Linked DNA regions of Caenorhabditis elegans. The protein of the gene in region 1 interacts with the protein of each later gene in a pairwise test. Each region holds a gene or a part of one and is shown in the gene's direction. Other genes may lie near its edges.

Region 1 (3,508 bases):
TATAGCAATACTTTTTGAAAAAATGTCACATTTCCGAAAAGAAAAATTGTGAAGAAAATAAATTTGGAATAATAGAAACTCTGATGGTCGTGAGAACTAATTCGGGGTGCCCAGAGGATTTTCATACTTATGATGTCTATGCCATTTGATGGTGACCCCTATTTTGAAACGGATTCTTAAGAATTTTCAGCTGTCATACTCCATATCCAAACCCAGGGTGATTTATCAAAATTGCTATAGAATTGAAACGGATGGTCAATTAAAAAAAAAGTGGTTCCAAAAATTTAAAACTATTTAAAATTGGAGGTTTGTATTTAATGAATTTGGTCTCGTTTTTCTAAAAACATAAGTTTTCAAATGGGAATAGCTTTACAAATCTTGTCTTGACAACTCATTGCGGACAGGCAAGAAATCAAATTATACTCAAAAACAAAGTTGTAGAACATACAGTGTGGCATACATTTGAACATAGTTTGAGCGGTTTTGTACGGTACTCCTTCTTTCGTAAATTTGATTTTGGAAAATTGTTTTGAAGATTTACTCTTCAGTGCTTAGTTATAATGCTATTTTCAGCAATTTTGAGATTTTGCTCTGGACTAGATTCTTGAGTTTGACACCTGAAAATTAATAAGAAACAGTTTCAAAGCGCTGACTATTGAATGACAAAACTTATATGCAAGTAATCTAGTTGCATATGATGATATTCAGTTTTCACATAATCTTCTAAAAAACATATTTTACTTTTGTAAAACTCGGTTGAAGGCAAACCCACATTCCGCAGACTTTTCCAAAAACAGCCCCCATAAACTTTGGTTCCATCTTTTCAGATATTACTACTTTTTCTGAACATTGTACTTCCTTTGCTCACTCCATTAATTTACATTCCTGTTATGATTGTTACGCGAAAAAATAGTCACCAACATTCTCAGCAACACATTTATCTACATGAGTACGTTTTTTTCCAGAGTTGTCTAGTTATGTTCTTCAAGTTGGTCAGTTTTGCACCTACATCATTGGTTTTTGAATTTTTGCTTTCAGGTCACGCTTCCATATTTTCTATCAAATTTAGAATACAATTGTGCATCGACTTCAATGCTATCAATGTCGTTAGCTGATGTTGTAACTACACCTTTGATAATTCAATTGTCGTACTTGAAGTGTAATATTCACGATGTGATTTGCCTCTTTTTTTCATTTGATATCCAGAAATATTTTAGAGTCGTTTTTGGTAATGTGGAAAATTCTGTGCATCCCAATTTGTCTCGCATCGCATTTTCGATTACCTAATTATATTACCGAAGCTACACCGGAAGTTTCTTTTTGGTATTGACAAATAAAATGAATACTGTACTTTGATATACACAATAAACGTATCTATAGAGACAATTCGATTTTGATTGAAGGTGGAGTACGGCCAGTTGCCAAGAATATAATATGAAATTATTTCTATGGCGCTAAAATGACCAGATAATAAATTTTTTCAAAAAATATTGGACAATTTTTTCAAACGGTATGAGATCTCAGTTTTCACCTATCTAATTATTGAAAATTCTCTTTCAGACACTACGACCTGTATCTACTAGCTTCTATTTTGCTCGGCAACTGGTGTCATCTACTTTTCGATTTATCTTTTTAATTTTGTTTCAGGAGAGTCTACTTTATCCTCTATTATGGATCACTGATGCCTTCTAGAATTCTCCAGCAGACCTACAAGCGGAGACTTAGACGAAAAAATAACTGCGTCTCACCAAAATATTTACTCTCTAGATTTTTGATGCATCGAAGTTGGCTCTCTGGTCGACGACAACAACACAACAGAAAATAACTCGAGAAGTCTAGAAAAGGAAAACAAAAACACAAAGTCTCGTATAAAAAGGGCGAGATTTTCAGGTTTTCACAAACCAACCCCAAAATTTCTATATCGTCTACTCAACTTTTTCAACGAAAAAAAAATGTCTGTCAGCCCATTCTTCAACCCAAAACGAGACTCTCAACTCGGTGAAATGATGAGAGATATGGGCGGAATGCAACGCCGGCTTATGCCAATTTCTGGAACTTTTAACCCAATGACCGATGATTCTGAGGTTGGTTTATTATTCTTCGCTTAGAATTTAAGATTTCAACTAAATCAGAAAAGTATGCTTTTTTATGAACTACAGTAATCCACTTTCATGGTTTTTTTTTCGATGCTTTTTAACTAAAAATCTAAACCATTACAAAAAACCGGGAGCGGATTACTGTAACTCTTAAAGGCGCACACCTTTTTGTGCGATTGTGAAATTTTTTGTTCGTGGCGAGAGTAAACATTGCCAACTTTCGCATTTGGATAATAAGAATCAAGCAACCTCATCTTGTAAACAACCAATGTTTCTGAAAAACTTTTAAAAAGAGGTGAAAAATGAAATTTCAAACTATTTTTATTTTCAGATAATGAATTCCAATGATAAATTTGCTGTAAATCTCAATGTCTCCAACTTCAAGCCAGAAGAGCTGAAAGTCAATCTGGAAGGAAGACAACTGTCAATTCAAGGAGAACATGACGTGGAGAATGAACATGGTGCATCGAGAAAGTCGTTCTCAAGAATGATTCTTCTTCCAGAAGATGTTGATATTACTTCAGTTGCAACTAATCTTTCGAATGATGGAAAACTTTGTATTGAAGCACCGAAATTGGAAGGTGTTTGTGGAAGATCAGTTCCAGTCAAAGAAGCCAGCATGGACCATCATCATATTGAATAAATACTTTTATTTTTTTTCTTTTTTGTGATCTCAAATTGAGAATCGAAATTGTAAATAAACAGACTCTTTTACTTTTTTTTAACTGCTTTGAAGTTCGAGAAAGAGAAATGTGCAATTAAACATCATTTTCTTATCTTTCAAATTTGGAGTTCACGTACGCTAAACATGGTGAGCAGCGGAACCCGCAAAATGTCGGAACACACGAGCACACCACTCCCTCCACCCCCCGTCTCATAAACTTACCTGGCTGGGGGTTATTTCGCGATCAAGAAGGCGGAATCCCCATGGTGAGGCCTACCCATTGCACTTTTGGGCGGGCTGACCTATGTGGCAGTCTCGAGTTGAGATTCGCCAACAGCTTAATTTTTGCGTATCGGGGCTGCGTGCGCGCGGCCCTGAAAAAAAGATATACATTAATGATTTTGAATCACTGCAACTAATTTTTGGAAGTTCTAATTCATATAATGTGCTCTGTGACTACTATCTTCCATTTTGCTCGGCAACTGATGCTATTTCAAGTTTACTTTTAACAGTTGGGAACATATTTTCAATTCAAGATAGCAAAGCTTTCGGATATTTCCCTTTTAACTGGCATTTTGAGAATATTATTATTTCCAGTACTGTTTCCATGTCTACATCATTTTGAACTACTGTCAAAGAGTTTATTACTTTGGAAAACATTTTTTATCTAGAACTTTGATGCCTTGTCGCATGGGCTCTCTGGTAAATAATCACGAGCATCATTTATACATACAGAAGGTTCTGAACA
Region 2 (5,078 bases), 5.9 Mb from region 1:
GAATTTCTAATTGATTCACAATTTTAAAATTAGATATGTTCATGAAAGAAAGTTTAATGAAAAAAGAATCTCCACAAAGTTGTATACTTTTTGCAATTTGCTATTTTGTTACGAATAGACCAGGAAATGTTATACAAACGATAAAAAATAAAGCACAAAATTCGAAATTTTAAGCAAGTTCTGAAAATTGCGTTCAAATGTTTCACAGAGCAGTTTTTTCATCAAAAGCTTAAATAGTTGCAAAATGTATGAAATTGTTTGAACTCAGAATTTAATTTCAAAAAAAGTTTTGTTCGCATTATGAGAGAAAGCTGTCAATTCTGACCCTTCTAATGTAGGTTTAATCTTTTTATAAATGTTCCTGAGCACTTTGGAACAAAAAACAAATTGCAAAATGTAGACGCAATTGTGGATATTGTTTTAATATTAAATGTTGTTTCATGAAAAAATTCCTGTCAAAATACAAACGCGCCGAATTTCAGCACCTAGAACATTTTTCTGAACATAGTTATACAAATTTGGCAACTTTGAAAGTGTAGATAAAGTAACCGTAAACATTTTGTTAAATAAAAATAATTTGCTAACTGTTATAGTTTTTGAGCTACACATGTTCGAAGAGCTGAAGCAAATCACCGAAAACTTGGAAATGAATAGAATATTGGCCGGCACTGTATGTAATAAATTCGCATTCCTACCGTATTTTTGTTTCTTTCGTGACGTAGGAGGCTCTTAACATTCAAATCCCGGTCATGAAACTGCAATACAATTGTCTCTCAATTTACACAAAGTCGAATAAAAATATTTGGCAAATCTTACTGCCAAGACAAATTTTTAAACTTACAGTAACATACAATTTGTCATCCACAACAACATAAGTGTAACATTTCTGTTGATCCCTGGCTTGTTTCAAGACATAATCAACAGACTCCCGATACTTCCAGTAGAACCTATCCCAATCCTGCAAAATTAATCAACTTTTAAAGCCAACTACTAGAAACATTTGTTTTAAATAGATATCTGACTCGAAGCCAAGCAAAAAGACGGAAAGTGGGTTTCATCATATTAAAACTTATCAAAATGAAACCCACTTTGTTTGAAATAGCCCATTCAACGTCTTCGTAGAATTTACCAACGTATCCAGTATAATTTCGGTGAGGATTAAGTAGATACTTCAAACATTCCATAAAGTTATGAGCGCAATATGTGACCGTGTAGTTCTACAAAATGTTTAAACTCTTGTGATTCCACAGAATTTGCACAGAAGTAACAATAAATGAATCTTCTGGTGAACAAGACTTAAACTAACTGAAAACTTGAAGTTACCTTTGGTAAATCGACAGTTTTTAAATTCTCTGATAGTTTTTTGAATTGGGCACTGTAGAAGTTATAGAATTTTCTATATTTACTCTGAAAAATTAGAAATTGAGTTATCACTTAATTTTTTCCTACTTTTTGGGAGCATTCATTGAAGAGTTGTATCATTTCCGGTGTAATATAAAAACAAGCGAAATCCATTCTGGGAATTTCACGAATTTAACTTGTAAGCACTGCGGAAAGTTATCAAGAAACAAAATGTCAACTGAACTGATGTGCTGAAAGAAAAAAACCAAAGGTTAACTTATTGCTAGGCCTATGTTGAAAATCGATCACTGATAACAGTTTGTTTGTGGAAACATTTTGGAGTGAGGAATCGTTCAATATAGTTTGTAATCAACCTATAGGTTGCAGAAATTGTATGAGGAGTGTTTTTATTTGAAAAAAAGTTTGCCGTACATTCACTAAAGTAAAAAAAAACATGAATTTTGATTTGAGTTGTGCTTTTTTTTCAATTGAGAGACTTTTAAGTCTGTCGATTAAAAAACTAATAAGAAATTCGTAACTTAAAATGAGTGAAGATCGCATAATAATAATTTTCCAATAATTCCAATACAAGAAGTCAGCTATGATCTTACAAAGGCCAGAAGCAGGATGTGAAAATTTTTCAGTTTTAGCAATCGTACAAACAAATTGAATACTCTTTACTTTCTGAGCGGTTAAAAACTGATAACAGAATAATGTACTAGGAATAGATATTTCAGTTTAACATCACTATTAATTCCTTAGATGTGAAAACTCCTCGTTTGGTTTTTCTGCATAAACATCAAACTCTTATCAGTAACTTCCAACATAGACATACATAGCAATACTTTTCGAGTCACAGTTTTGTAATTGACATATTTTTTCTTGCTCATTAAATTCTATTAATTCGATTTCATAATGGAAATTCCATCTTTTCATATTACACCAGATATGAGAAACTTATTCAGTGAATGTGTTAAAGAAGTAAGGTAGTTTCCAAATTGATGACTTAATTCTTAACTTTTTCAGGGAAGTTATAAACTTTTCTACGACTTATACAAGAGTGAGTTCGAAGATCTAGCCGTACATTTGAAAACTGTCAGACTACCGGAGGTAACTCAGCTTTTACGGCGCAGTTGATAAAAAGTAACGTTCAAGGACACCGTACTCCACTACTGCGTAAGCAACTTCATGGAATGCGTGGAATATTTAATTCATACTGGCCGCGGATACAACTATTATGGTCACGTTTTTAGCTTTTACAGGGATGTTGACTGGGCAATTTTAAATGGAGTGAGTTTAAATTAATTTGATTTACATTTGAGCCACTTTCTTATAAAAATACACATTAAAGGTGGACTACACCCTGTGGGGAAATTGCTTTAAAACATGCCTTTGGGGTCACAATGACCGAATATCATGATGAAAAAATTTTAATAAAATTTCTAGGTTTTAAATGATTTTTTGAAAATTGAGAAAATCTCAGTTTTCCCCTAATTCCTATTTGAATTTCCGCCAATTGAATTCGTTCGATGGAGCGCGCTTGCATTATTTTCATAATTTTTTTATTTTATATTCATTATTTCACTGAATTTCTTTATTTTTTGGGGGTTTTTCATCGGAAAATGAAAGAAATAAACAAGAAAGAAGCAAAATGTTTATTTGAAAGTAATTGAAAATGCCTTAAACTCTGAAATTATGCGATCCGACGACGATGAGCCTGAAATTAATATTATTCAGAGTTTTAGGCATTTTTAGTTACTTTTTAATAAACATTTTGCATTTTTCTTGTTTATTTCTTTCACTTTCCGGTAAAAAATCCCCAAAAAATGAAGAAAATCAGTGAAATAATGAAAATAAATAAAAAAATAATGAAAATAATGCAAGCGCGCTCCATCGAACAAATTCAATTGGCGGAAATTCAAATAGGAATTAGGGGAAAACTGAGATTTTCTCAATTTTCAAAAAATCATATAAAATCTAGAAAAATTTTTTACATTTTTTATCATGATATTCGGCCATTGTGACCCCAAAGGCATTTTTTAAAGCAATTTCCCCACAGGGTGTATGTAGTCCACCATTAAATAATGTTTGACTTCAGGATTGGAGCAGATTTTACTGGAAATTTCGCGACTCCGTAGATTATGTTATAAAGAAAGCAAGAGAGCAACGGAAAATTCAAATTTATGTTGTTGAAGGAAGTGCACGTTATTCTTCTGTAAGTCATGCCTAGTTCCCAAAGATTGAACGTTTCTGACTTATTTCATTGCAGTTCCGTAGCCGTGATCGCAAAAATCCCAAAGAAAATTCTCCAGAAACTCGAGGTATGGTTTAATTTTTTTTAAGTCTAAAAAAAATTCAGCACAACCCTCTGATAATCTAAAACTAGACGTCTTAGTATCAGAAAACTCTGATTTAGTCCAAAAACCAGTCCTGGAAGATTTTGAGAAAAAATCGCAAGAGCGGGAAAATCGAAGACGAGAGCTTGAAGAGGAGCTGAGGAAACTGGATCTAGAGGAAAAAGAGCAACTGGCTATGATTTCAAACTTCAAAAGCCCGGAGCCGGAACTTCAACCAATTTCCCCGCCACCCTCAATACATGATGACCTTATAAATGACATGGATGGCGGAATGTTTGGTTAGCTCACACTTTTGAAAAAAACAACTTGTTTAAAAAAAAGTTTGTAGGTTCTGAAAAAACTGACGATTCAAGTTTGGAAGACTTGCAGCTTCATGTACAAGAAATGGACAAGAATACTATGTTAACAGGTTAGTTAAATTTTTTATTATGTATAAACATGTGTATGTACAGAAAATTTCGATCAAGATCAAGAAGAACTGAAACTTTTTGTGCAAGAACTAGAGCAAAACGCTGCTGAAACAATTAACAATTCCTCTCACCAACTCGAAAATGCTCTGAAAGCTGAAGAAAATATTGAAACTGAAATCTCTGAAGAAGAAGCTAGCGACGATGAAGAGGAAGACAATTTCCACACAATGCTCCAAGAACAAGCTGCACGTCACAAGGAAGAAATGGAAAAAGTCATGAAAAAACGGGCGGAGCAGAAGAAAAAGCTTGAGGAGCTAAACAGAAAAGTTAATGCAATAGTTTTTTACAAATAACTTAAGTTAGGTATTGTGTTCTTAAATCCTCACAATAAATCTCTCACTTACTATATATTTCGAAAACTTGCTTATTCATTGCGAATTTCAATTTTTCATAAGAAAATCTGGTTCATAGAACTTTTAACCTTTTAACCGATGTCATTCTAAACACTTTTGGTATTTCATTGACAGGTTCTGAAATTTGTTAAATAATTTTAAAACTTTTTGAAAAATTTCGAAAATTTTTTTTGGAATTCTCTGAAACTTTTTAGAATTTTTAGAATTTACTTTTTAAAATCTGTATTTTTCTGAAATTATTTAAACACTTTCTGAAATGGCTCTTTTTGTAGAGTTTTCAGACCTTTTCTGGAATTTTCTGAGCAAACTTCTAATATTTCATTGAGTGTCTATTAAAATTATTTAAACAATCGATTCATTGACAAAAAATAAAAAAATATGAACAGATATTCTGTATGAGGTGTCTAAATAAATTTTAAAAATCAAATTAAAACTTGAGTAGATATCGTGTATGAGGTTTCACAACCCTTCCATCTTTAAAACCCGTTGCAGATAACTGGTACAAGGATTATTTCTGAAAAATAAAGAAAATTATTGTATAAGTATGTACATATTTT

Evidence for each region.
Region 2: the proteins of hsp-16.21 (region 1) and K02E2.7 interact in a two-hybrid assay, tested with the Caenorhabditis elegans proteins (one large-scale study listed by BioGRID).

Annotation. Positions count from the first base shown.
Region 1 is NC_003283.11:14,462,819-14,466,326, reverse strand, and holds hsp-16.21 (SHSP domain-containing protein), read left to right. Parts: upstream 1-1,898; 5' UTR 1,899-1,952; coding exon 1,953-2,084; intron 2,085-2,427; coding exon 2,428-2,739; 3' UTR 2,740-2,807; downstream 2,808-3,508. Other genes in the region: srz-97 (Serpentine Receptor, class Z), read left to right, coding at 828-992, 1,039-1,173, 1,218-1,232.
Region 2 is NC_003283.11:20,384,152-20,389,229, reverse strand, and holds K02E2.7 (Cilia- and flagella-associated protein 251-like), read left to right. Parts: upstream 1-2,187; 5' UTR 2,188-2,256; coding exon 2,257-2,322; intron 2,323-2,367; coding exon 2,368-2,451; intron 2,452-2,496; coding exon 2,497-2,631; intron 2,632-3,439; coding exon 3,440-3,556; intron 3,557-3,610; coding exon 3,611-3,662; intron 3,663-3,757; coding exon 3,758-3,976; intron 3,977-4,026; coding exon 4,027-4,107; intron 4,108-4,150; coding exon 4,151-4,461; 3' UTR 4,462-4,500; downstream 4,501-5,078. Other genes in the region: F53H2.1 (SH2 domain-containing protein), read right to left, coding at 696-755, 842-958, 1,089-1,217, 1,324-1,407, 1,450-1,515; K02E2.11 (Phosphatidate cytidylyltransferase), read right to left, coding at 4,998-5,035.